2 linked regions of the Notamacropus eugenii genome follow. The protein of the gene in region 1 interacts with the protein of each later gene in a pairwise test. Links are inferred from orthologs where the notes say so. Each region holds a gene or a part of one and is shown on either strand. Other genes may lie near its edges. The genes, in order: CCND2 and CDK6.

The links.
Region 2: the proteins of CCND2 (region 1) and CDK6 interact in a two-hybrid assay, tested with the Homo sapiens proteins (2 studies listed by BioGRID, with this or other methods). The link is inferred for Notamacropus eugenii from reciprocal best matches to the Homo sapiens genes CCND2 and CDK6.

The regions. Positions count from the first base shown.
Region 1 is NC_092874.1:201,062,924-201,078,017, reverse strand, and holds the start of CCND2 (G1/S-specific cyclin-D2), read left to right. Parts: upstream 1-9,519; 5' UTR 9,520-9,697; intron 9,698-12,001; exon of another isoform or gene 12,002-12,113; 5' UTR 12,114-12,331; coding exon 12,332-12,526; intron 12,527-12,571; exon of another isoform or gene 12,572-12,800; intron 12,801-14,264; coding exon 14,265-14,480; intron 14,481-15,094. UniProt on the Homo sapiens protein: Regulatory component of the cyclin D2-CDK4 (DC) complex that phosphorylates and inhibits members of the retinoblastoma (RB) protein family including RB1 and regulates the cell-cycle during G(1)/S transition.
Region 2 is NC_092874.1:47,525,317-47,539,683, forward strand, and holds the start of CDK6 (cyclin-dependent kinase 6), read left to right. Parts: upstream 1-8,467; 5' UTR 8,468-8,650; coding exon 8,651-8,883; intron 8,884-14,367. Other genes in the region: uncharacterized protein, read left to right, coding at 4,232-4,774, 8,183-8,335. UniProt on the Homo sapiens protein: Serine/threonine-protein kinase involved in the control of the cell cycle and differentiation; promotes G1/S transition. Phosphorylates pRB/RB1 and NPM1.

The sequences.
Region 1 (15,094 bases):
AAGATTTACAAAGGTAATTACTCAGAAATGGGAGAGAGGATGGAATTCAAATTGGGTTCTCCAGAAGCTTCACCTTCCTAAGGGATAGAGAAAAAAGAAGACCAAGGACAGGTATAACAGCCCATGAATGGGAAAACAGAATTCAAAACAAATTAGAATGGAAGAGAAACAAGCAGGACAAAGCAAAGGAAAACTTCAAAAAGGGTACTGCAAAAGAATATGACTTCAATAATAAGTCAGAGGAAAGATTTTGACACACATTTAACTGGACAGGGAAAAAAATGAGTCAAAAGTGGAAGAAAAAATAAAAGAACAAAAAATTAATAATTTAAGTAAATTGGAATAGAGTAAAAAGGGACAGAAAAAAGCCTGTGGGAAAAGATTATCATCATAATAGTGCAAGCAAAACCAATTTCAGAAATAAAATACTGACTTTAAAAAGAAGAGGGCAAAAATAACCAAAATAAAAGGAGGAAACCATAAACCCTGCAACAATACCTTTAAATGTAAATGGATTAAATAATTTTTAAAAACATCAGAATGGGAAAGAAAACAAAACCCAACCATTTTCTGCATAAAAGAAACACATCTAAAGACAAACAGACATAAATATTTTTAAAATGAGGGGCTATAGAAAAGTTGTCTAAACATTATGTGGTTTCACTTTTCAATATTTGAAATCATTTTATAATATATCTCTAAAATAAAAATTTGCAAAATAAAAGGAAATGAGAAGAGCTACTTGTGTGCTTAAGGAAACCAAATACAATGAAATAGTGTCAGTTCTAGCTATATATGCACCAAATGGCATAGAATTAAAATACATAAATATATGGTTAACTGAATTGCAAAAACACATGCAGCAAATAGGAAAGACTTTAAGGTTTTCACTTAGATTTGGAAAAATCTGACAGAAAGATCAACAAAAAGGAAAATATAGAATTTAATAAACTGTTGAAATTAGATCTGAAAGATTTAAGTCATCTTTTGGATAGGAACATTAAATAACATACATATTTCTCATTACTACATAGTACGTTATAAAAATAGACCATTGCTAGGGCATAGAGAAACTATAAATAAGTGAACAAAATTAAAATATTAAAAGTATCCATAACCCAATAAAAATGGTAATTAATACAGGGAACACAAGCAAAAGAGACAGACGAACAGAGACTTGATAATGACATCCTTATTTAGGGTTCTAAACAGTTCTATGGTCCAAGAACAGATCATAAAAAGATTTAATAACTATGTGAACAATAATGATAATGAGAACATCTACCAAAATTTGTGGGATGCAGCTAAAGGATTCCTCCAAGGAAAAATTTTGCCTTTGAAAAATATGCATTAATAAAATGCAAAGAAAAAGAGAATAACTGAGAATGCAATTTAAAGAACTAGAAGGTTAATAGACGCACAAACTCAAAAGAACAAAAAGAAAACCTTGAAAATTACAGGAGAGATAAAATGAAAAACAAAAAGGCCAATAAGCAAACTGAAAGCTGTGTCTTCGAAAAGAATAACAAAAGTTGGAGGAACCACAGAAAATAGATGCATTGATGCACTATTGGTGGAGCTATGAATTGGCGTAGTCATCCTAGAAAGCAATTTGGAACTATGCCCCCAAAATTATTCAATTGTGCGTACCCTTTGACACAGCAATACTATATCTAGCCTATTCCCCAAGGACATCAGAGGAAGCAGAATATGTCCTGTATGTACAAAAATATTTATACCAGATATTTTTGTGGTAGCAAAGAATTTAAAACTAAAAGGGTACCCATCAATTGGAGGATGGCTGAACCAAATGATAGCATATAAATGAAATGTAATAATTTTGTGCTATAAAAAATGAAGAAACTTGGAAAGATATGTAGAGCTTGAAGCACAGTGAAGTGAGAAAAACTAGGAAGATGATTTATACTGTAAAAACAACATTGTAAAAATGAACAGTTTTCAAAGACTTAAAGACTCTTACCAACCCAATAATCAGTCATCATTCCATAGGAAAGATGAGGAAGAATAGTACCCATTTCCTCACAGAGATATGATATACTAATATTTATAATGAGACATATTTTTGGAGGTGGGCAACGTGGTAATTTGTTTTGCTTGACTATGTTTATTTGATACAAGGATTTTGTATTTTTTTTAGTGGAGGATGGGATGGCAAGGAGAAAAGCGTGAATGATTAATCCTTGAAAAAGTGTTGAAAATTTTAAAATTAAATTAAATATTAAATGAAATGTGGAGAGGAAAAAACAAAAAAAAGAAAATAACAAAATCCATTGCTCATTATACTTAAATGAATCGATTCAGAACCAGGAAAAACATGCCTTCAATATTTCAAAAAAGAAAAACAATAAAATGGAACTGAATGATATATAATTAAAATGATCAAACTTGAACCCAGGAGAGGTGAAAAAATGAACTCTGCTCACTCCACTGAGGGGGACACTAGTGGTGTGGAATGCTGACTATACTCTCAAATATGGTTGACATATTGGTTGATGTTGCTGAATTACTTTTTTCTCTTTTCTTTTTTAATCTTTATTACAAAGGAAGGCTCATCGAACAGGGACAAAATATAAAAACAAAAGGCATCAATAAAAAAGTATAGATTGATTATACAAACATTTTCTTTTATAAAACAGTGGTTCTGAATTTGTTCAGGACAACCTTGCTTTTAAGTGCTTTTTAAAAATGTTAAAAATAAAACTGTTTACAGGGAATTCAAGATATAGAAGAAAGAACATTAGTTTGGGAGTGAGAGAACTTGAATTCCAAACTTGACTTTCTTTCTTACTGCCTGTGTGACCTACGGGAAGTGACTATATATCTTAGGACCTTAGTATCATCTTCTGTAAAGTAAGGTTGGTTTAAATCCTTTCTAGGGTCTTTTCCAACTCTCAATCTTATGAAGCTATGAAAAAAGTTAGAGAAGCTTGGTACTCTGAATTGATCCAACTATCCTGGAAAGCAATTTGCAACTAAAAGTCACTAAATTGGCTCTGCTCTTTGAACGAGACCCCCAAAGAAGTTAAAGACAGAACAAAACACTGTACCCATGTGCACACACTTTATAGCAGCAAAAAACTGTAAAGAAAATGAGTATCCCTCAATTGGAAAACGGCTAAACAAATTATGGTGTATAAATGTGATGGAATATTATTATGCCCTAGGAAATAGAAACATGATAGATTCAGAGAAATCTGGAACCCTTGCATGCACTGTTGCAAAGTGAACTAAGCATAACCAGAAAAACAGCAAGCTACAACACTGTAAAGGAAACAACTTTAAAAGACAAGAAAGGCCGGAGTGGATGGCTGGTGAAGTAATGGCGGCCTTCAGGATGCTGACTTCCCTTTGGCTCTCCCTGGCAGCATCCTGGGGCTCAGGGTTTCAGGGGATCAGACCCCTGCCTCAAACCCTGCTCCTGATTTTGGCCAGGTCCTGTGGGATGGTTCTTCTTGTTGTCATGTGGGCTCTGAGACTAACTTGTTGCTCAGAGACAATCCAGAATTCACAGATGATCAAGTTCAAAGTATAATCACCAAAATGGCTGGTTTGCATTTACAGGTTTTTAAACCAATAAAGCAGCAACTTAAGCCACCAACATATAAGGTAATGACAGAAACACAACGGTAGAGAGGCCATTGAGGCAGCTAAAAAACGGCTAAAAATGCCTCCTGTACTGAAAGGAACAGAGCCAACAAATGATGCATTAGCAGATGATAAAATCCTTGAAGGAACCAATACTGCCAAATCTGTGTTTACTGATTTAACATTTAGCATTGTCACGCCATGAGTGTTTCGTTGTTGTCAGGGGACCAAGTGGTTGTGTTCTATGCAAAGACCCCTGGAAAGCAAAGAAGACAGAATGATACAGGTCTTTTCCCCAAAAGAAGATCACAAGATTTTTCCACCACTAATGTTCCAGGAAGAAAATCTCCCAACTTTGTTCAATCAGCATCGTGACAAAGATGTCCTCAATCTCTGTGTTGTGCAGTTTGAGCCAGATTCAACTAATTATGTTAAAATTCATCACTAGACATATGAAGCATGGTAAAGTAAACATGACTGCATTCAACAAGACCCTTTGGTGGAATGATAAATAAGAAAAAGATTGATGGTTTGCTGATTGACCAGATTCAGAGAGATTTAATGGATGATGCCACAAATTTGGTGGTTCTGTATCACATGCTCCATCCATATGGACCCTCAGCTAAGCAAGCTAAAAAATAAGGAGTTTAGGGATGAGACTTAAGATCTTTGCAAAAACAGAAACACAAAAGGGAGAATATATAGAGTTGACTCTACAGGCTTACCAAGAAACATTAAGTAATCATCCTACAGCTTCCTGAAGAAAGTACTTAGATAAATTATCATTTTTATTAAAAAAAAAAAAGACTTAAAATCTGATCAATACAATAACTAATCATGATGTCAAAAAATTGCTAAGGAAACATACTTCGAAGTTGCATTGATGGACTAGAAGTTCAGAATGAGACACACACTTTATGTAGTGATTGATTTGCTTAATTGTATTTTCTTATTAAAAAGGAAGGCTTCTATGTGAAGGAAAAGGAAGTTGGTAGGCAGAGAGAGCAATGTGAAAATAAATAACAGAAATAAACAGCAATCCAACATTTAAAAAATAGCCAGAAGAAAGCCGAAGGAAATTCAGAACAGGACACGGATCAGCAGGGCAGTCCTGTTACTACTGTCTGAATATTATTATCATCCACAAGGAAAGATATATCCACATCAGTGAGATTCCCAAACCAGTGGCATGTTTAAAGTATAATTTTCTGACTCTCCTGTCGTTTGCCATGACTAATCTTAACTGTTCTCTGTGATTTCCCCCAACATTTGATGCCCACTCAGGAATTCACCTCGAAATCCCACAAAGAATTATTTGACTCAGAGATCATCTAGCCATAATGAAAATGTGACCTAAGGTAGATCACATTAGAAATTAGCTTGAATTTTCTACCCTAATTTCATCTTCGATCACATACAACAACAAAGTAGAAGGGTTGATTTTCTAATCTGTTTTGGCTATGACTGGGCACCAATATTGTTTCAAGTTAACATAAGTACAGATGATCTTAGTTAAAGGTGAATGAGGAAATACATCTAGAATGGATGGACTTCTACTATGTTCAACAGAATGTAAAATGCATATATTCAGGTCAATCCTAAAACATTTTGCAGATTACAAAACTCTGGGAGCAACCTGCTTTGTATCTTTAAATTTACTTGATTTCAACATACCTAAACTCTGCAAAAAAGCATTAAAAGAAAATAATTACTAAACAATATATGTGCAATGGAAAGGACTGAAATATTGCTGTAACATAAGAATATATGCAGAGAAACGTGGAATACTTGCAAGAATTGATGTAGAAGGAACTGAGCAGAACCATGAGAAGAATTTATATGACTATAACATTATAAAGGAAAACAACTTAGAAAGACTTAAAAATCATTTTACCACAAAAACAAAAAGCAAACCATGAAAACTAAATACTACTTATTTGCCCAGTTTTTATTCTTTGATTTAAAAATGACTAATATCCAACATCAGGATGTTCAACCTTCTTATGGATGTTCTACTAACAAGGCAACAAACCTTGTGTTTTGAAAACAAAATGTGAAATTATTAGAAAATATAACCAGGTTCAATTTTGTTTTAATTGTTAACTTTAATTGGTGAATGATAAAGAAAACCACAAAATCAGAAGTAGACTCAGTTTTACTAGGAAATAGATTTTGGAAGATGAGGATGAATTTCTTTTGCAATTGCTGATTAAAAAACTAAATGTGAAGACAAATTGCAATTATTCTACAAAACAATCTCTGGATATGGTCTTGAAAAACCAGTAAGAGTTTTCTTTTAAAAAGAACTTGGCTCAGCTTTTCAGAAACTCAATAATGAATCTAAATAAAATTTTAGAGACACATGACTTTTCAGCCCCTCATACAATTCCTTTGGCCCTTTCAGTTTTTAAATTACACTCACTTTTTATTTCTTCATTAATTTTTACTAAACCATTTTACTTCCTACCTTTCCACATACAAATCAAGTGTGGGTCAAATCAGGCACCATGATGCAAATCAACCACAACCAACCACCAATAACATTAACACATTTAAGAAACTGTAACTTTTACTAATTACTCCTCTTCAGAGGTTATTATAAAATATTTGCTTGAGTCTCATCAGCAGCTATTAAAAAGGGATTAAAAGAAAAGCAAAAAATGTTTTTTTAAAAGAATACTTCTGAACTCTGACAACTTTTAAAAATAATGTTTCTAGATACCTCATAATACCCATGACACCCAACTGGGGTACTCAAGCCCCATAATCCTCCATCTCCCAATCTGAGACAAATGATTTTACCCTCAGGGCTACCCTTTTTTTCCCCAAGAGCTCAGCTCCAAACCATTTCCTCAAAGGTACAGCAAACTTGCCTATGGATATAAATACAAGTTTACACTGTTACTTCCTGTTATTTGGTTGTGTGTACCTTCCACCTAAATCCACACCTCAAGCCCCTTCAGGGTCCCAGTTTTAAATCCTTCCACTAGAAACTCAGAAACTGCCAGCCTGACTTTGGGAAAGGAACTTTCCTCCAAAGTCACCCCACAGGAAAGGTTAAAAAGGCTCAGCAGTGCTTTGAAGAAGGTAATCAATCACCGGTTAAGTCTACACTTAAGGAATCACAGCCCCAGGTGCCGGGTACCAGTGGGGTAGCCTCTGCGCCCCTCACGTCTCGGGCATCCTCTGCGCCCCTCACGTCTCGGGCATCCTCTGCGCCCCTCACGTCTCGGGCATCCTCTGCGCCCCTCACGTCTCGGGCATCCTCTGCGCCCCTCACGTCTCGGGCATCCTCTGCGCCCCTCACCTCTCGGGCATCCTCTGCGCCCCTCACCTCTCGGGCATCCTCTGCGCCCCTCACCTCTCGGGCATCCTCTGCCCCCCTCACCTCTCGGGCATCCTCTGCCCTTGGTCAGTGGGGCTAGGTCAAATGGTGCATTGTAACTGACGTGAGTGGATGGGTAGCCCCAGAGAGCACCAGCAGCAGCGCTTCCACCTCCCCTGGCTTTCCTCTGACTAACCCCCTCCCACCCGAGCCCCCCAGGCTTCCAGGCGGCAGCCTGCGGAGGAGTTGGCCGAGCATGAACGCTGCCTCGGTGAAGTCCACTGTCTGGAGCTCGCTACCTGAGCCGCAGAACAGCCTGCTCACTTGTGCGCTAGCCCAAAGGTCCCTAGGTCAGGGAGGCGGCTCTCCTTCCGAGCTACTTGTGCTTGGACTTTGGGGAGGAGAGGGCGGGGGTGTAGACGGTCAGGGACTACACTCGCGATCATCAGCAGATCTCCACGTTCAGAGGCAACAGAACAGACGCCCGGGGGGGGGGGGGGTTACACACACCCCCCCAGCAGAATTAGCTCGCCCCTGAGCTCAAAGTAAAAGAAACTTCCAGGGCGGTGAAGGGTCTCGAGCTGCAGGCCGAGCAGCCGCTGCAACTCTGGACCCGAGTGGCCAAGGCAGCTCCTGCACACACAGCTGTCGGCCAGACCCCGGGGAGCCAGCCTGGCCCAAGCCGGGGAGGCTGGGGGGGACCCTTCGGCCAACACCCCCCACCCCAAGCTGCGGCTTCCCTCCACACCCTTCCCCCTCTCCCCGACAGCTTCCTCTGCTCTCCCAGCCCCTTCCCCCCACGTGCGAATGACGTCAAAATTCCTCGAAAAAGCCGCGTGGCGGCTGCAGAGGAGGGATTGCCAAGGTTGCGCCCCCTCCTCCTCCTGGCCCCCCACGGGGATGAATTGGGGGGCGGTGGCCAGCAGGGCGCCCCAGGACAGAAAGCTGCGGAATGCAGAGGATGGGGGTTTTTTTCCTCCCGGGGAGTCGGGGGCACTCCAGGATGCGCTGTCTCCTTCAAGGAGAACTCCCACCACCCATATGGTTGCAAAATAAATTTCCTTAAAGCTGTAATAAATTTCCCGGCCCTGTGGGAAGTGTGAAAGGCTGAATCAGACAGGAGAACCGTGGAAAGTTTTGACCTTTTATTTATTCATCTTTACTTTTCCCGGAAAGAAGAGTGGGGTGCTAGTAGGTGAGCATAAGGCAAGCGGGGAGCCTCTTACAATGCCCCGGCAGCATCTGCTGTTTTCGGAAGAAAACGCGAGTCTGCATTAAAATATAGTAAATAAACAGAATAATCAGACAGATAAAGAAACCCACACACACAAGACCCGCCCCATCCTCTCACCTGAAACGCCCTGGGGATCCGAAAGGGGATTGCTCCCTCTTTCATACCTGTGCTCCCGGCCCAGGGCTGGGCACACTGACGCTGTGGCTGTAGTCCACGACCCATGCCCACCACATTCTCCTTTGATTCTCATTTCCCTTCCTTTCCTCTTCTTTTCTTTTCCTCCCCTTCTTCCCTTTTCCTCTAGGTCAAAAAAACTCCAAAGGAGAGAAATAATTTTGCGCTGAGATTAATTTTCAAATGACCTTAGGGTTAATTATATTTTAGTTCTCTGACCATCTTTCCTCTCGTGAAATAACAAAACACCCACTTATTCCAGAAAGGATTATTTCTCCCCTGTGCCCTCCCCCCCATCTCGACCTCCTAGTTTGGCTAACGGAGGAAACGTCCCCCCTTCTCCCAGCTTGTGGCTCGGTGGCACACTGTTTGCAGTTGGAGGCTTTGGCTCTGTGCTTGGAACACGTGCCTCTAAACTTTCACCCAGCTCCGAGCTCACCTGGCCGGGGTGTCTTCGCCAGGTGAGTGCGTTACTGCGGATTCCTGCGCGGTTCCACGCGGCTCGGAACGCCGGGCTGGTCCCTGCCCCTACAGCGTTTTGTACACTTTCCAACCGAAACTGCACAAACACGTGGAGAAGGGGCGGGGGTGATAGAGAGACGAGAGAACGTTTATTCCCCAAAATTCAGCTGGAAACTACTGGGCACGTTTCTTTGTGGAGCGGAGCTGCTAGAAGGGACAAGAACCCACATCGGGAAAAACTTGGATCCTAGAGATTGTTGTAACCTCCAAGTCAAACCCAAAGCACTTACTTAAAGTAACTTCTGACCTGCTCCCCAAAATGCGCTTTTTTGTGTATGTTGCCTAGAAACCAAACTGCTTTCTTCTTAGCGCTGTAGTCCTTTTTTATTTTGGGGTTGGGTTTTTTTTTGTTCTTAATGCAACGTTTTAGACCCTGTAAATGCCATAGACCGCTCGTGGGGACAAACCCCCTTCCCCCACGAGGGAAAAATTGGAGACCGGAGAGTGATAAAGGGCGCTGCTAGCGTATGAGAACAAGTCGGTAATGGGAAGAAGGGAAGGAAGAAACTTTTAAAGAGGCTTTCGTGGACTTAGCCTGCCAAGCGGAATTTGCCCGAGCCCACGATCTTAATGAATGAAGGGCAGAATCGGAGATTTCTTTCTTGTCCCTCCTCTCCCCTCCCCCTTTCTTTCCTCAGCCTCCTTTTGCTGGTATTTCAAAGTAAAGCAAGACTCGGCTAGGAGAGAAGGGGGAAGGGCGACGGAGCAGACTTAGCATCTTAGCCTACCCCCAAAGCCTCTAGGACTCGCCACCCCAGCTTCCCTCCCCCGGAGTGAGTAAGGCCTGGGGGAACTGAGACTCGCCTCATCCCACCACAGCGCATCTTACAAGAACGGTACTTTCCATTTTCTTGTATGGGGATGGGGCAGGGACTGTGACCAGTTATCAAATAATGCAGAATATGAATGACACACTGTCGGGTTGGAAACTGTCCCTGGCTTCTGTCCTTGATTACCCAATTACCCATCTTTTCTTTAAAATACGCCTCCCTCCTTTCTTCCATTCTCTGCTCAACCCTCCCGCCCCCCGAGATCACGGCTGTTTGATCTGTAGGTTAGGTGAAGTTTTGAGTTATTTCTCAATGGCTTTTTAAAAAAGAGATGTTTATTTATCCTGAGTGACTCAACTCCCCAGTCGGAAACTCCAAGCTGACTAAAATCAATAGTTTCAATGAATTGACTGTATTCCCAGTAGTACTATACTCAAACCGAGGGTCAGCTGTGGCGCAGAACAGTTTCAAGTCTGCAAGTTGGGTTTGCCAGCGAGTTTTTAATTTCTTTTTCTACAAAGTTAATGGTTTCCAATTAGCAATTCCATATCCTTCTATTCCTGCCCTCCCACAGAGTAGATCCGACACCGATTGTCCCCCTATTGATTAGGTCTTGAAGGTCCCTCCTTCCTTTCCCCAGCCCCCTCTTCTCTTCTCGCCAACTTTGCTTTCTTTTGATATAGAGGGGAATGCTTCCTACTAAGAAAAAAAAAGTAATCTGCCCAGTAACATTCAGCGCGCAGTAGCAAGAGTCTCTGAGCTATTGGCTATGCAAATAGAGGGAGGGGAGAGACAGCTCCCCAAACTCTTACTCACCCTTTTAAAGTGATATGCCCCCTCCCCTCAACCATCCACCCCTTCCGCCCCACCCTCTTTTAAAGGGGCTGAATTAATCGCCTGTACTTTGGGTTTTCTCCACCTCTACCTATCTTTTGCTACTCTACCTCTCTTGGTCTACACGAAAAACTCTTGAACAAGATCATCCAACTTCACCGCCTCCACATCGCATCACCTTCTCCCCACCTACCCCCTTGGCCCTCACATGGCTCTTTCTCATTAAAGCTTGCAAATCATTCTGCCTCCGCTTCAAGGGTGGGAGAAGAGCCCAGTGGCGCCCGGTTACCCCTCAGCACGTGCTAACTCTGCCCTACGGGCGTGGCTAGGAGATAGGAAAGATGACATCCCCTTTTCCTAATATTGGATGCTGGGGGTGGGGGTGGGGGTGGGGGGAGAAGGTAATGGGAGAGAACAGCCGTAGCCCTAGAGGGAGGGTCCGTGCACTTAATAGCCCTAATAAAAAGAAAACGAAGTATGCCAACCACGCATCCTTGGGGAACGCAAATGACTGCGGAGATAGTTTTGCGAAGAAGGAAAGGTGTGGGGGGAGGGGAGCTAAATCTAATCAGTCCCCTCCCCCACCTCCCCTCTATTTCCTAGAAAGCTGTGTCTGTGTGGTCAGAAACCTCCGGCTGCTTCTCCGCAGATAGAGGCAAAAGTTGATAGAGGGGGCTTTAGCTCCCGAATGCTGGCTACGGGGGAATCCCTGGGTCCTCGGGTTCCGGCTTGCTGCCAAACTCCTCTTTTTCCCGACCTTCCTTATCCTAAGAGCTCCCGTCCTCTCCGGCCAATGGCTTCAGGCCTCCCCGCCCCCCGCCTAGGCGCACACCACCCCGGTAGAATGCTTCCCGCTTGGAGTTCCTGTCTGCTGGGGGTGCATCCACCCTCCCTGGACCCGTCCCCCTTCCTCTTCCTCCTGTGGCTCGTCTAGAGGAAAGGAAGGTGGTTTAAGCGAGCGCGCGCGCGGGACTCCGCAGGGGAGGCGGGGACGGGACATTGTGTTCTGAGCCCTTCTAGCCCAAGTTCCCTGGGAGTGGAGCTTTGGCGTTCCGGGAGCCTGCATCCACCCTGTCTGAACGTGGGCGTGCAATAACTTTGTTAAAATCAAACTCCGATTTCCACTTAAAAGATCCATTTCAAAATTGTCCCCTTCCCCCCTCCCTGGCATCCATCCTTCCCTATCCAAGCATCTGGAGACAGACAGAGGAAAGTCAAAGTGAGAGGAGGCGGGGTTTTGCAGGAAGAAATGGGAACCCTCCCGCCCCCCACCCTCAGCGCGTACACAGACTGCACTGAGACTTTTGGGACACCCCGGATGATAGGGCTCATTGAAAAAGTGGAGGAAGGAGGTGAAACGGGAAGCTGTCATTTTTGGGGGGTGGGGGCTACCCCTATACGTGGGCCCCCGTTTCCTTTTTTCCTAGAGCGGATAGAGGGAGAGGGCAAAGGAGAAAAGAAAGGGGGCAGAGCGTTGGAGGTTACGTCTGACCAGCTGCCGTTCTCCATAATAACGAGAGGGGAAGGGAGGGAGGAAGGGAGACTGAAAGAAGGAGCGGAGGAGGAACCAGGGGGAGGAGAGTGAGTCGAGGGAGAGAGGGAGGGGAGCTGACGGCCCGGCCGGCTTACGTCACTGCCTCCTCTGCAGGAGGAAAGAGCCCAAGACAGACCAGAAAAGTTTGAAGGGAGAGCTGTTGGAGCGAGTGCGGCAGCCCCTCTTAAAGCCTCTTCCTCGCCTCCCCTTCCAGCCCCCCCTTCTTTTTCTAAAAGAGGGAGGTAAGAGCCCCCACCCCCCAAAACCTTTTCTAATCTGGAGGACAGGGAGGGGGGCGGGGAGGAAAGAGGAGCAGGCTCCTTGGGAACGTCATGGAGCTGCTGTGCTGCGAGGTGGACCCCATCCGGAGGGCTGTGCCGGACCCCAGCCTCTTGTTCGACGACCGCGTTTTGCTTAACCTGCTCACCATCGAGGAACGCTACCTACCCCAGTGCTCCTACTTCAAGTGCGTGCAAAAGGACATCCAGCCCTACATGAGGAGAATGGTGGCGACCTGGATGCTGGAGGTTGGTGTGGACCCTCCCTCCCCCTGCCCCGTGCACGCCTCCCACCTCGATTTCGGGGGGCCTCTGGAGCTCGGGCAGCGCGCACCCTCCCGCTACGCCCGGCTGTGCCGCGCGCGCTTTGCTGGACTCGTGGCCTTTTTTTATGATCCGTGCGCGAAGCAGGATTGGGGGTGGCGGCCGGGGGGGGGGGGGGGGTCAGGCTTGGGAGCCAGCACGCGTGTGCAGGTTCGCGTGTGCTTCTCTGCTTCCAGCCCCGAGCCTGCGGCGTGTCTGCGGCGTGTGCGTGTGCGTGTGTGTGTATGTGGGTGTCCGCGCCCGCGTGTGCTTGTCTGCGCGGATGGGTATGGGAGCGGAAAAGTTGCAAAAAGAAATGCGTAAAAAGCCAATGTATCCCAGCCCCGAGTCTCCGCATGCGGTCGGGGCTCCGCTGTTGGCATGGGAGAGTGGGCTGGGGGAGGGGGAGTGGGCTGAGAACGAAGGAGGCAAAGATGCCCCCCCCCCCCCCGCACACTCACACACACACACTCACACTCACACACACACACTCACACACACACACTCACACTCACACACAACTTTCTCCTCCCCCACTCAAAACTTTGCCCAAGTAAGTTTCTCCATGTGCCCACGTATGCATAGCCCCAGACCTGCCGTGGTTTCGCCATGTTGCTTTGCAAATTCGGGTTCAAGAAGTTTAAAGCTGCCCTCGGACCTCCCGAGGACCCCCACCCCCACCCCAGCGCCCCTCTTCTGTCTCTTTATTCTGCCCCCACCCCCACGCCCCTGGAAGGATTACTTAAAGAGTTCGGTTTAACAAGTTTGCTTCGTGCGTTGGAGCTTTGGGTGGGGTAAGGAAGGAAGGGAAAGGGGTTCGGGACCCCCCCTAAAAGAAGTAAGACGGTTGCCGACCCTCAGTTTCTCTTTCCTCCACCCCACCCCCACTACCTTTCCTTGCTCTGATCCTGGTGGGGCCCAGCGGGACTTAGCGGTCACTTGCTCCTTAGTCGGACCTCTGTAATGAAGCATTCTAAGGGGTCAAAATAAAAGTGCCCAAGCACCCCCAACCCACAGATTCGGAAAGCCCGAACCCTTCTCGGGGTTTTCGTGCTGAAAGGGCTCCTCTGGGAGTATTCCTCGATTTTTAGTAAATTTTTTAAGCAGCCCCGGCAACTTCTGCAGCTCTGTGCTGCTGGAACTGCGACTTCCCTTCCTTCCCCCCCCTCCACCCTCACCCTCACCCGCACCCCACTAGCAACTACTGGATCTCGGGGCCACGATCCACCCCCACCCCTCCAACACACACACCTCCCCAAGCATTTCTTTCAAACATAAGAAATAATAGAGCAGGGGGTCCTGGGGTCTGAATGTAACCAAGTTACTTGGATCATTTTGATTTTATTTTTTAATAAGAAGAAAATTTTTAAAAAGGAGGGGGAGAGCCAGCAAAAGTACTACGTAGCAAGAGAAAAGTGGAATGGGCAGGCTACTGCTTATTCCTCTAATTTTGGGGATTTTAATTCATTTCCATTTTTTACTTTTATGGAATCGGGATGTCAGATACCTGGTCAGCTGTCTATAACTTCCTCTGCCTCTAATCTTATCACTCCATCACATCCGCAGCCTTTCCCCACCCCCTGAAATGAAATCGTTTGAGTTGGTTAACTGTATTCTGGTTCTAACCTTTTTCTTTCTATCTCCAATGCTGTCTTCTCCTCTCCCTCCTTCCCCCCCATTCTAGGTCTGTGAAGAGCAGAAATGCGAAGAAGAGGTCTTCCCTTTAGCCATGAATTACCTGGACCGGTTCTTAGCTGGGGTGCCTACTCCTAAGTGCCGTCTGCAACTTCTGGGTGCTGTCTGCATGTTCCTGGCCTCTAAGCTGAAGGAAACAATCCCCCTGACGGCAGAGAAACTCTGCATTTATACCGATAATTCTGTCAAACCCCAAGAGCTGCTGGTAATTAATGCCTCCGTCTCTTCTCCATTCAGCCTTAGCCCCTTTCTTGTCCCTCATCTTCCTAAATTCTTCCATTTACTCTTTTATGCTGATAACTTTCTTGTGGGTGAGGTCTCCTTCAAGACAAGAAGGTCCAAGTCTGAGTTGTTTAAATGTATACTTTATATTGGTAATAGTAGGTATTTTGGTGAGAGGAATGATGATGGGAGTCTGCTAATCTGCAGATTTTATTTTAATGTTTGGATACTGAGAAAATAGTCATCCAACTTCAGATGACCACTGTTGGAGCCTGACTTGATTGTAGATTTAGAGCTGGAAGAGATCTCTGAGGTTATCTCATCAATTTCACCCCCTCATTTTACAGATGAGGAAACCGAGACATTCAGTGATGGAGTCCCTTGCCCAGACTTACGGTATTAGTAAACAACTTGAGAGCTGGGACCATATTTCATAATACTTTTTATCCCAATGATACCTTAGACTAGTAGAATATTCAATATTTGTTTGACCTTTGGTTTTTAGCATCACTAAAGTGTTAGACTTTTTTTTTGGCAATATTTGATTTTTTTTTTTTTTGCACCAGGTTGGGAGGAGAAGGGGAGAGTATTGAGGAC
Region 2 (14,367 bases), about 150 Mb from region 1:
TCAGTCATATTCTGCACTATTTAGGACTGGTCTTTTCTGAGACAGATCAGAAACCATCTACCTATAATGATACTAGAATTAGTACATTTACCTTTATTAAAATTTCATGAAAACTGTTCACCTGATGACTTATAAACATATTTCTAGAGGCATCCTTAGAGATGGAGATAGGGGAAAGGTATGAGAATTCCAGAGGCAAAGGGTTGATTTTCTTTTTTTTGGAGGAAAAAATTGCCCTCAGTTCATAGATACAGAAACTAGAAAGAGAGGATTTAAGTGACTTTAGGAAGAAACTAGTTGGTTGATAGTAGAGGTTGAAAAAGAAATGGTAAAATCTTTGATTCACAGAATGATGCCATGCTCTTCAAAATGGCCAAGGGGTTATAGCTGATCTATGTTATCTGTGTACCAAGGGAAAATATAAAATAAGAAAATATAAATCAGAATTTCATGAATATGGATACATCAGCTAGATAATCTTATTTAATAAGGCATAATGAGACAGACATAAATGCAATTCCTTCTAAAAAAAACATTAGGTTGCCTAGATGTTCCCTATCTAGTGTGTTCATAGTCAATCTATTGCCCCCACAATCTCATCGTGTGCTTAACACATATGTTTAACTCACAGGTACCTGTGTATGTCCAGCAGCTCACCAAAGACACTATCCAGGGATGACTTTCTTGCCTTTTGTTTATCTACAGTTTTATCACCACTACCACAAGGGTTGGTATTTTGAATGGCTAATCTGAATTATTTAATCTAAAAAAATCCTCCTCACATCTTTTGATAGAACCAAAGACGGTGATGGCAATACAACTCTGGGGTTATACTTTAAGTAAAAGATAAAATCATTACAACTTTTTAAAAATTAATGAAAACATTGGGGCTCTATAAAATTGACAAAAATTCAAAACTATCATCATTATCTTTCACAAATAGGATTTTGTGGTATTTTTCAGATTATTCAGAGTTCCCAAAGAAGTTGCGTAGGATCTCAAGAATTTGTTTCAACACAGGTTGAAGCAGCATGCTATTCCCGTAAAGGTATTTGTAGAAATACATATATATATATAGATATAGATATAGATACATATATCTATCTAATTCTTGAGCAAAAGGGGGAAAGGAAACAAGGCTAGGTGATAATCTCAAACAGGACAATTACACAATGAATATATTATGGACATGCTAAAAAGTGATGATAGAATATGAAAACAATATTCAAAAAGGTAAGAAGTGTCTAAGTATTTTCTTTTTTAATTTTGAAGCCCTATTAGATTGTAGTTACTAAGGATGCTTTTTTGTTTTGTTTACCTTTTTGCAGCAAATATAAAAATCTTTTGATCTTGCATGCTCAAATAGAGTTTACCAGGTCAAAGTTAACAATAAAAAGGTAAAAAATCTGCAGGTCACTTTCAAATAGGTGACAAGTAAGATTATATCAAAGACTGAAACACAAACATGAAAAAATTCAGACTTTTAAGAAAGTAGGACGACTTTACATAGGACTTGTTTTTACATGAAATACAGAGCAATATGTCAAGGCTCTATTTTGAAAAGAAGGAAATGAAAACATCACGGAAAAAATATGACATAACATTGTATTCTACTATCTGTTAGAAAACAGCAGCTTTTAGGTTAGTTAGAAAGGTAAAATTTACAAGATAAAAATCATAAGTTTACAATTTCAGGGAGCTTAGTTGAAAGATACTGATGATGAAGAAATGTTTTTATTGGAACAGTGAAAGTTTGGCTTCTGTAGAAAAATGTGTAATTATACATAAATGATGGTGCAAATTCATCTGAGCACTGATCACTTTCTGAAAAATATTTTTATTTTTTCAACTAAACACAAAATATTTTTAATAATTTAATAACAGTAATAACAGCTGGCACTTACACAGGGCTTTAAGGCTTACAAAATATCATATATTATATATATATTATCTGACAACAATCCTGTGGGGGAGAAGCTATAATTATCCTTATTCTTAAGGAAGACTACCTTTTTAAAAAATTCCATCTTAATGTAATTATTTGCAAATATTTTATTTACATATCTGTTTATTTTGCAGTTTAAAGCAACCTAAAACAGTATATTTAAGGAAAATGAAATCCAGGAATTCTAATTTTCCAATATAACATCAATAAAATGGTTTTATAACTCAGGATTTCTGATGAGGGTAATATCAAAGTACTGACATTAAGTCAGTGTTCTTGAGTTCAGTGGAAGAAGACCTCATCAAATGGAAATTAAATTTAGTTCATTGTTTATAAACTTCATACACATTTTGTTGTGATAACCTGTTACCTTCAGGAGATGTTATCCATAAACAAAAACATTCTGGTGTTGACTAACTGTACTTAACTTAAGATAAGCCTCTGGGCACTTTTTTTTTTTAAACATGAACTGGATATAAATTAATCATAACCAAGGAACTACCACCAAAAAATGGATGAGTGAGGCTAAATCAACATAAAAGGTAAGCAATATGAATGAAAGCAGACTATATAAAACCATCTGAACTCTGTGTTAAAATATATATGACTTGTTTCACTGTGATTTATGTGAGCAAGACTTCTCATAACACTCAGTTGAGGAATTTCCAGCCAAGATTTAAATGTTGACCAATTCAGTGACAACACAGAAAGGAATTCAGTGTAGACAGAATCCCCTTCTGAAAATCTTGAAACTGTTCACAGCTCTTTTGTTATATTTCAAATTGTTTGTTTACTGAAACTGTTCTTATTGTGAGTTAAGGCTGTGATCATTTATTGACAATTGCTTCTAGCTTAAAATGCCTTCATTAATATTAACCATACCCTTCTGCTGTTTTGGTTTTTAAAAATACTAATAAGTATGATAATCACCAATGCCACTTGCAATTGTATGTTTTAGGCTTTAACTTGAATTTTATGGGACAATCAGAATGTATATTTTATCCATTTCATGATGGCTCTAAAAACACAGAACCTGAAGATTACCCTCTAAAATCTTCAAGTCATGTGAATTGCTTAGAGACCTATCTAAAAAAGATAGGTTGTTCACAAATTTATTGAATTAAAGGATAATCTCTACAGAAAATTTATTTCAAATTATCAGGTTTATGTAGTAACATTTTAGCTTTGTTTACACAGAATTAGTCCTTTCTATCATTTAAAATATATTTATAAGTTAAGATAATCGATTTAATGGAATTCCAAATGTGAAGCCTTGAAGATTTTTTAAAAACTTAATCACTATCACTTACACAGCTATATAGAATGTAATCTTTTGTTAATGAAGAACAAAAATCACACTGTGCAATCAGTAGCCTGGAAAAATAAAGTTTAATTCAACAAAGCCAGATACTATTTGCAATGAGAATATTTTCAAATGCAAATCAGAATTCTGAAGGATTAAAATTTTTCCCACAAAACAAAAAAAAATACGATTTCTTAATTTGATTTTAAAGTGTTTCTGGAATTTCACAAATAAACGACATTTGCTTTGGGACACTTACCTATTTCCAATATGGCACTCATTAAAAAAAAATCTTCTGTAAAATAAATCATGAAGATTTTCCCCTCAAAAACCTCCTTTTCATCTCAATTAATTTTTAAGGTTTTCTCAGCAGGTCAGGATTTTTTTTTTTAAAGGTTTCATATTTCTGCATTCCAAATAATGCATCTGAGTTGCAACTCATCAAATCACATTCTAGTTTTTCTTTAACTATTATCTTATATCTTTTTTTAAAAACTCAAGTTCAGTCTTTTAGCTTACCAGAAATGCCTTAGTGAGCCTCAGCAGCTGGTAATTACTTAATAATTGTGAACCATCCAGCCTCATCACCGAGATCGTTAACTATACGAGTGCCTGACAGCTCCCAAAGGAAGCGAAGCAAACAAAAACAATGTAGCTCATCCTGAAAATGAAAAGTGCTCGGACAGAAGAGTGTTTTCCTCTCTGCAAGCTGTTCAGGCAGCCACTTTAAAAAGGGGTGGGGGGGACTGAGCACGGCTCTGGATTTGCCCTGATGATAAGTTTCTGGTGCAGTGTTTACCCCCTTGGCCCCTCGGAAGGACTCCGAGTTGTTTGGGGTTCTCCCACCCCCTCCAGCACACAACAGAGCCAGAAGCCTGGCCAGCTCCAATTCCATTCCTCACGCCCACTCGGGCTCGGCGCTAGGCTCCGGGCTCCATCTCCCGGGCCAGGTCGCTGCCCTCCGGGAGTTTACCATCTAGTAGCTCCACCTCGGCCAGCCCACCCCAGTGGTCCCCGAGAACCCAGGCTCCGCTTTCTCCCCCCAACCCCCAGTGAAAGCCGGAAACTTTCATTTAGGAATTCCCCGCCCCCAGCTCGGGAGTGCGGGCTGCGGGAGGGGAGCTGAGCAGAGCGGAGCAGGAGAGGGGGCCCCCGAAGCGGCCCGTCTGGGGTTGCCTCTCCTCCCTCCGGAAGGCTTTCATTTGCACATTCGCCTTCAGCTGCGCTCCGAGCCGGGACCCCAGTCGGTGCCTCGCGTCCCCCCGCGACCCCCTCCCTTCGGCCGGGTGGGGCCCTGGGAGGGAGCCAGTCTCCTCCTTCCCCCGCCCCCGAGTGGGGCCCAGCCCCGGCCCCGGCCCCGGCCCCAGCCGCCGCTGCTGCCGCCGCCGCTCCGCTGGTCTCGGCTCTCCGGGCCCCCCAAGCCCCGGCCCCGGCTGCCGGGCTACCTGCTCCGCGCCGACTGCCCAACACGTGCGGAGGGACTGACTCCCTGGACGGCCGGGGGGGAGTCGGCCGGGCCCCTCCAGGTGAGGGAGCTCAGCGAGGTGGGGGGACGCGCCTGGGGAAGGGGATTTTGGGGGGGCCTGGGAAGGGAGGGGGCGTCGCAGCCCTGGCTCGGGTTAACCCCTTCCCCGCCGGAACCCCCGAGGATCAGGATGAAGGACGCTTTGGAATGCAGACGGGGGGAGGGCTGGGGGGGGGGTGTCAGTTGTATGGCCCGCTGCCCTTGGCACCGGGCTCAGTTGCCCATCCTTACTCGTGGGGACCCCGAACGCCCCGCCAGTCCCCTGCACCCCCACCTCCCCGCGGGCATAAACACAAACACTGCAGCTCCGGGGCTCTTCGGCCTCATCTGAACTTTTCCAGTAGGAACTTTAAACTGACATCACACTCTCCAGTTAGCATTTTTAAAACCCTTGTATCTATCTCCTTCAGGGAACACCCTTGTCTCCCAATCCCCCCACCCCCCAGGTATTTCTTCTCCTTCTCCCGCGTCCTTGGGGACGCTAGTGGGGGAGCTGTTAACTCCCCGCCACGCGATAATTAAACAACAGGCCCCTTGATGTCCACTTCAACAGGCTTGCAAATGTCCTTGGACTTGTGTCCAAAATCCGTTGGCGTCCATGCTTTTAAGATGACACTAGAATATACATTTGCATCTGCTCCTAAGTGATGCTTCCGTTTAAAAAACAAAACCCCCAGAGGCACACTCTCCCCCACCTCCACCCCCCCCCCTTCACCAAAGCCCTGGAACCCTAGCAAAAATACGTGGCCCTGAGCTAGTGCCCCGGGGAGCGACTAACTTGGCCACGTGCAGGACACATATGGTCTGTATGCATCCATGCACACGCACGTCTTTGCCGACGTCTGCGCATTTGTGCGTCGCTAGCTGTGTGTCTTTTCCCCTGGCTATGGCTCGCCTCTTGTCATTGCGCTAGTGGCGACCCTGACGGTATTTGGCAGGCTTCGGCTGAGGCACATGAAGGATTTCATTGACTGTGAAGAGAGAGAGCCGAGACAGAAAGCAGAAGGAGGCGGCTGCAGCCTTTGTAGTCGCGGAGGAATGCGGAAATGTTGAAGCACTATGTCAAACTTTTTTGAAATGGGGTCAAGTCACATTCAGCCAGCGTGGGAAAGCAAGGAAAAAAAAGTAAGGGAGGGAGAGAGAGAGAGAAGAGGGGGAAAAGCACCAGCTCTCCTGCTTGTGTCTTAGACTGAGCCTGGGCCGGCAGCAGAGAAAGGGGGCTGGGGAAGGGGGAGAGGCAGAGGAAAGGGAAACCCAGAAGAAAGAAAGAAAAAGAAAGGGAAAGGTGAGACTAAGAAGCAGAGAGAGAGAAGTGAGGGAGAAAAAGACGCTGGGGGCAAGGAGAGGATAAGCCCAGCAGAAAGCCCCTCTCCCCCAGACGGGGGTGGAGGCAATTTTGGACTTTCAGGCTTATTTTTTTTCTCTGGGGGTGGGACACCTCCAGGCTTTGCCTCTGGTGACAGAAAGGCTCCTAGCTCGGCTAGGCAGGAGCCCTGGGCTAGAGGATGGTGTCTCAGGATGGCAGAGCCGGGCCTCGACGGCGGCTACCTGTGTGGCCCTAGACCCACAGTGGGGAGGTCCCAGAGACTCTTATTTAGCGTGTTTCCAGTGATTTCGCCCTCACCATTTAAGGAAAACTTTGAGCGACGTGTGTGAGTGTAGGGTTTTTTTTTACACAGTTCTCTGACTTCTGCTCTCCTTGAAGTCTATTGTGGTCGCTACTTTCATTCATTATCGCTTGTTGCTTTGTAATTAATGACCAAAGGCGAGCGGACCTGGGATTGAACCTCTCAGGTACTTCAGAATCTTCCAATTCCGAGAGGTTGCTGGGGTGAAAAATGCAGGGCCCGGAACGCAGGGGGGTTGGGGTGAAGCAGCAAGGTCAGAGTGGATGAATGGGGGTGGGGAGAGCGGGGTCTGCCCTTCTCCAGGCCCCCGCCCCCAAACTGCAGGCGGTCCCAGGGGCTGGCGTATTGTCCTCCAAACTGTAACCGGTGGAGATCTCTCCTAGCAGGCTGCCACCCCACACCCCGGGGTTTTCTTAGAGCTGTTCCAGCTACTATTAGTGCATTTCCCTAAAGTCCGAAGTTAGAATAAATTGCCGGCTACCTGGTTGGCATCTGAGACCTGTGCAGGGTTCGGAGGGAAGACGACAGAGCTGAGGTTCCCAGGCTGGTCCGTGCCCACAGGGCACAGAGCTGCTTTGCCCCGCCCGGGGCAAAACTAACTCCACCCCCCCCACTTCCTCGAATACCTCCAGGGCTCAAAATTGCCATCTCTCTTCTCTTCCCCCCCTCCATACCTTCTGCGTAGTTAGAGGAAGAAAGGGTGGAGGGTGAGTGTGGGAGTTGAGGCTTGTTCTAGGGGAGGAACCCTTTGGAAAGAATTCCAGGGAAATACAGAATTAGGCTAATCTTCTTCTGGGATGACTGTAGAGGAGGTAATATGGAGGAATATCCATGCGATGCTCCCCCGGGAGAAATTCTCCCCACTGCAGTCGGTTTCCTCCCTTTTGTCGAACCCCCTGCACCACCTCCTCTGCGTAAGTGCGGGGCAGAGACTTGGGCCGGCTAGTGCTGCTTCTAGGAGGGAGGTCCTCACAGTCAAAGGAAAGAATGCTATTGCTCCCATCCTCCCTCTCGGTCTCCCCATCCCCCTCCTCAAAGATGGGGCTTGGTGGAGAGTCCCCCAAGTAAGGCCTGGAAGCAAAAAAAAAGCTATTGCTCCTAGGAGCCTTAACCAGACTTTATTGCACCCCCACCCCTAATTTTGCCCCGCAGGGTCCTTCCTACGGCTTTACTCACAAGTACTCCAACGCTCCCACCTTTCGTAGTGCACTACACACACACAAAAGTTTAGCACAGTATTTTACACTTAGTAAGTGCTTAATAAATGTTGGTTGACTTGACCGGTTTGCAAATCCCACTCCCTAGGGGCAGTGCGAGGTTTTGGAAATGCACCCAAATTATGTTTAGTGTCCCCATAGTCTTAGAGTAGTTTTAAGTCTTAATAGCTTAGAACCACAAAGGCTTTGGGGACGCCCAGAATATAAAGGTGAAGATTAGGAGACGAGAGTGCCCTCAGACTCCCCGCTTCCTATCGGATCCCACGGCGCCCTCCGCCCTCCCCTTGCTGAAGCTGTGTCCAAGTCGATTCCCTCCTTCCCCGCGGGGGCCCCAGCCTCTTCTCCGGGGAGCTCTCGGGTACAAATACAGGTCAACCTCGTGCAGGGAGAGAAAGACGGGCTGTTTCCTTACCGGCCTCAGCGCAGCCAAGTGCCCAGGGAATCCTGGAGGATTCAAGGGCAAGGTGGGGGTGGAGGGTAGGAGGCTTGGGAGGGATCCGGGAGCTGCCCCCAACCCCAGGATGCTTGAAGGCACTTAATTCTCTCCCCCCCCTTCTCTTTTAGGTGAAATGGTTTGGGATTAAGGAGCGCTCCCCCGGGACCCCTCGATCGTCTGGACTGCGGCAGCAGCAGCAGCAGGGTTGCGGGTGGGGAGCAGCCGGGTGCCCCGAGCAGGAGCGAGAGGCGTGGGGGCTGGGGGCGCACGCGCGGGGGTGAGGGCGAGGAGTGTGTGCAGCAGCAACCCAGAGTGCGAGAGGGGGAGCGGAGGAGGAGGAGCAGCAGCAGGAGGAGGAGGAGGAGGAGGTGGCGGCCGCCGCGTCCGTCCGGCAGCTGCGGTAGCGGCGGCGGCAGAGGCGGCAGCGGAGGCAGCGGAGGCAGCGGAGGCAGAGGCAGCGGCAGCAGCGGGAGCCCGGGTGGCGGCAGCGGCAGCGGCAGCGGCAGGACCCTAGTCCTCCACCGCCAGCTCCTCGTCCTCCTCCTCCGCCCGGGGCAGCACCGGCCCGGCGGCCCGGCCGCAGCGGCGGCGGCGGCATGGACAAGGACGGCCTGAGCCGGGCTGACCAGCAGTACGAGTGCGTGGCCGAGATCGGCGAGGGCGCCTACGGGAAGGTGTTCAAGGCCCGGGACCTGAAGAACGGAGGCCGTTTCGTGGCGCTCAAGCGCGTGCGGGTGCAGACCGGGGAGGAGGGCATGCCGCTCTCCACCATCCGCGAGGTGGCGGTGTTGAGGCACCTGGAGACCTTCGAGCACCCCAACGTGGTCAGGTGAGCGAGCGCCCGGCAGCCCAGGGGGCGGCGGGGGCCACGCGCGGAGGCGGGAAAGGACGCGGATCCAGAGGGCTTCGTCAGGCCAGGCAGGGGCCCCATCCTGGCTTGGTGGGGCTGCTGAGGAAGATAGGTGCCCCCAAATATTAGGATCCCCATTCTACAGGTGGGGAAACTGAGGCTCGGGTGGGTGAATCACCTTGGCCAACTGCATATAAGATAGAAAACTCAAGCCATTATACTTCCATTTTCTAGATGGGGAAACTGAGGCTTAGAGGAGGGAATTTGGCTTGCAATCTGTGCAGCTTGCTATTGTCGGACAATTGGCTCCAGAGCCTCAGGACAGCTCCCCACCCCCCTCCCCAGCCCCCCAAGATAGACCGCTCAAGTATTCTATCTCTCCATTTTCTAGTTGGAGAAACTGAGACTTAGAGGAGGGAATCTTGCTTGGCTGCATTACCAAACTTGTAGCTGTACTTGAGAACTATCTTCTATGCTACACATTCCATTCTACCGTGAGTTGCTTGAGAGGGGTGCTGTTTTTTGCCTTTCTTTGTGTCCTCAGCACTCAGCACTGTGCCCAGCACCTAGTAAATAAGGAATCCTCGTTTCAGAGACTCATTAATAAGCAATAATGCCTGCCCAGCCCGAGTGTGCCCCAAATGACGTTGTCCCAGCCTTGCCAGCCCCTTCGGGCCGTTTTAGGGACCTGACCAAAGAAACCCTCTGGGGACCCCCACGTTTTTATTTCACTAAGTGGGGAATTTTCGAGAGATTAAAAATGAGAACATTCGTGGAGCTGAGTCGTTGGCAGTTCTCTGTAGTTTTATAGAAAATGCTTCGGGTTTCAAGAATTTTCACCAGCCCCGTGGCTCGTCTAGTCATCCCCACATTTTATCTGTGTGCTGTGTAACATTAGAGGTGGGGATACTTGAATTGTTGAAGGGTGTATGTGCCTTGCATGTCATTTTTTTACCAGAAGTAGGATTACGCCCTTTGGTTAGTTAATTTACAGCTCTCTGCTAGCCCCTTCATGATTGATTCGCTTCTCAATTCTAGGCTCCTTCGACCAATTTTGGGGGGAGATTGAATGCGTCTAGATTCTAAATAACTTCCCATCCAGCCCTGCTTTTTCTGGAAGGATTGTGTGTGGATGAGGAGTAACCTTCCCTAAGGTCTCCGTGGTTTCCTTAGCATCTTTCCCAGAGAGTAACTCTGTGGATGACAGTATGTTGATAAATACAGCCAGATATCTCCGTGGGTATTCTAGCAGTCGATGGAAGGGGAAATTTCCTCTCCGTCAGTGGGGTGGGCCACCTTGGAGGATTGTCCCTTCCAGCTCCCGGTTACTTGAAGTCTACTAGCAAAGGCTGGATAACCACTTGTCCTAGGTTTAGGAAGATTTCCTGGCCAGATATGGGGTTGGACTGAACATAGCATAGAATTCTAGTTTTAAAGGGTCAAGGTGTTGTGGAAACAGGCCCCAAAAGTTTAAGGGATTTAGCCAAAGTCCCAGGGCTGGGATGTGAAGCCAGAACCTCCTACTTCAAATGCTACTTTTTCCACTCCCTGGTAATGCCCTCCTTGATGTCCCCTCCTCCCTGACAACAGAACTGTACTTTTTCTGCAGAAATTTTCCCTGAGCTCTTGGGCTGGATCTCTCTTTTCCCACGATCGCACCTTACCTTGAATTGTAAAATGTCCTGTTTGATTCTGTCTCTTCATGCAGAAGAATGCTAGTTTCCTTGCTGTAATCGGATCATTTCCTTTTTACTAAGCAAGTTCCCTGAGGGCAGGAATTGAGCCATTTTCTATCTTTGGGTCTCTAGCACCTGGTTCATCCTGCTGCTTAATGAATACTTATTGGATTGAATTGAATTAATAACCCAGTTAACCCTCAAGCTATTTGTTTTGACTCTTCAGCGTTGGAGGGTTTTCTTGGCAAAGATACTAGAGTCATTTGCTGTTTCTTTCTCCATCTCAATTGACAGAGGAAACTGAGGCAAACAGGGTTAAATGACTTATCCAGGGTCACTCAGCTAGGAAGTGTCTGAAGCCAGATTGGAACTCGGGTCTTTCTGATTCGAGACCACGGCACTCTATCCACTTGGCCACCTAATGGCCCTCTTTAAATCCTGGCATTGTGTAATAAAGGGAATTCTGTAGTAGGAGTCCAAGCACCTAAGTCTGAACCATGGTTCTATCACCTGTGTGAATTAGTTCAACTTCCTAATTAGCCCTCATCTGCAAAATGAAAAGGTTGTATTAGATTGCCTGTAGCTTTCTTTCCAGTGCTGGGTCTCTGTCCTAGGACCCTTTGATTTCCTTCTCTGGAGACTTAAATTCAGAACCCTACTCACCTGACAGCCCTATGTGCTGTTAGTATAATCCAAATACCAGAAAATTCTTTCTCCCTCTGTCACTTTGCAGAGTGTCTGAAGTGTTAATTCATAGCTATGAATGCCTCTCCAAGGAAAAAATGCATCCTTTCCAGGGAAAATGAATGTCTTTCAAGGCAAATCCCTTATAACCTAGAAATGAGAAACTCTGGCCAAGTGGCTCAGGTTCCTCACTGAAATTTCATCACAAAAGACTCCTGGAAAACTTAATGAAAATCCCTCAAAAAAAAACGGTCATTTCCTTTTAGGCAGACCTTGTGTCCCCATAGTAGTGAAAAGGTGAAACATCGCTGAGAGACAGAATTGAATTCATTTATTGATACCGCTCTGTCCTAAGGGACAACCAAAACCTGGTCTCTGTAGTTTAAAAATGAATCAACAACATCAGGATTTGTTCTTTTTTTAATAAAAAAAAGTTTCATTCTAACCTAAACTTTGTCAGCCTAATTGTCCTTGAAAACGTCTCCCTTCCCATTCAGTTCACTTAAACACAACGGTCATCTAGTAAACACTCGCCTGGCCTGGCATGGCCTTTGCTAGATGTTGATGTTGGGGGTACCAAGGCAGAAATGATTCAGGCCCTCACAGGCCCTGTCCATTTTGGAGATTATATGCGTCTGTGAAATGGGGAGGTTTGGGGGGAAGAGTCTGTTTCATAATTATTGAAATGAAGATGTGTGTGAGAGGGTTAACATAACGGTGTTTCTTGCACTGTGTGGTCAACATCACATCAGCATGCCACCATCTTGTTCTCTTGGTAAAGATTCATGGTTTTTAATGAAAAAAAAACAAAACAAAACCAAGGCACAGAACAGGGTTGTGGTTTTTCTATCCGCAACTGGTAGAAATCTGTAGCTCATTGATGTTGCATTGCTTGGGAAAGGAGAATGGAGGGGCTGGCCCTGTTGTTTTCTCCATGACTACCTCAGCAACTTTCCCTGCTGGTCAGTTTATGGATCTGTGGATGATATTATGTAAATAAGAACTGCTAACTATGTCTGTAAGAATTCAAACAATTTAAGATGAGTCATCAAAGCGGAGACCCAGGAATGACCTTTGAAATACCAAATCCCATATTCACCCTGGGAATCTGTGTCTACACAATCTTTATGGGGAAGTTTCAGCTTGTCTCCCTATATACCCTTTGTGATCTGTGTGTTGTTTTGTCATAGCAATAAGGCCAGGGAGGGGATATGTCTAGTTTAAAGGGTACAGCAAGGAAAAAGAAATGGAACAATGAAATGATGACACCTTTAAACAATGTGCCATCTAGTAGAATTGTTGCAAGGGCTGTGGTATTTGCGAAGGTAAGGAGGAAAGCCTTCCTGGATCAAGGAGGGGATATCTAAAGATAGGATTTGATTTAAAGGCTACCTGTTTTCTGTTTTTTATCTTACCTCTAACCATTAAAAAAATTCAAAACAAACCTACTTTGCTATACTTATATTCTCATTTATTTATATTGAAATAACTGAATGGAATATGAATGGGACATAAAGAGGAATAGATTCTTGTCAGTTGTAGCCTCTGGAACACATTTCATCCTAGTTAATATCCTCAAAAGACTAAAATAGCCATAATCCTGTGCGACTTTAAAGGAGAAACACTCCCCATAGAATCTGATTGCTTGATTCATTCTCATTTGCTCACTTCCCACTCTATACTGGGTAGTGTGCTGAGCTCAGGGAGCAGATGTCCAGTGATTCTCCTTTGAAGTCTTCTGTCATCCACATGGCCTACTTTGAGGTGTATTACACAGGTGTATTTAAAGTCCTGTTTGTCCTATGGAGAACTGATTCTATGAGCCCCCATGGGGGATTGGGAAGGGACGGGCAGTGAGGACTTCTAATTATTTTTCTAGTATCAGATGATGGATTTATTCTGAGCTGTCCCATAGACTCTTGGGATTGGTGGGTGAGTCCTTATTCAAGTTATTCTGGCTGTGCTAGGACAAGTCTCAGGATGCTCTTGTGTGTAATTTCTGGTGGACGTTCATCTGAATTAAAAACAAAGGCAACTGCTACCTATTCAAGGAGATTAGGTGGAACCCTTGAGCCTCTTAGAAGTTTCCTAGTAAATCCTTTAGTTGGCAAGATATCTATCTACTTCTGAATTAAAACAACAACAACCCTGCAGGATTTGGCATCCGGTTTTTCAGAAAAAAATCTCTCTCAGGGTCAGACAAGCTAATTGTTGATGCGTCCCATCCCTCCCCAACCTCTTCTCTTTTCCCTGACTCCCTTTCTATTTCTACTCTTTTTCTCTTGCTTGTTACTGTTTTGTTTTTTCCTGCTTTTGCCTTGGGTCCATTGTTGGAATCCATGGGCATTGCTTGGCCTGGCTGGGTGTTCAGGGCTTTAGAGAGGAATGAATAGGAGTCATCTGGGAAAGAGATCAAGGAAGGATTCTACTCCTCCTCACTCCCCCAAGGGGTAGTTTCTGCTAGAACCTGGTGCAAAAAAACCTCGTGATTTTTGCTGCGTAGTTCAGGCCCTTTTCACCTCTCCCTGGGCCTATTACAATAGCCTGCTAATTGGTAGCCTTGCCTCTAGTCTCTCCCCTTTCCAATTCATCTTTGTCACAGCTTGAAGAGTTATTTTCCTAAATCAGAGGTCTGACCATGTCATTCCCCTCCTCAATAAACTACAGGGGCTCCCTATTAATTCAAGGAAGAAATGCAAATTCCTTTGCCATTTAAAGCCCCTGACAACCCGGCCTCACCCCACCTTTCCAGTCTTAGTCTGTTACTCTCTATTGTGCATACTGTGATCTGGCTAAATTTACCTTTTTGTCTTTAATTGTATTGTATTCCCAGCACCTGACACAATGGTTGACACAGAATAGGTCCTTTAAAAAGGCTTACTTTTTTGATTGAGTGAGGAGACCAGTCGGGTCTCCGTGCCTTTACACAGTCTGTAGCTTATTCATTTCTAACTCCCAGAACTCCTAATTTCCTTCAAAGCTCAGTTCATGCCCCGCCTTCTATAAAAGCCTTTCTTTCTCCTCCACCTCCCCCGCTGCTGCTTAGTGACTTTCCCAACCCCTAAAAATTTACCTTGTAGCCATCTTATATATATTTTGTTTC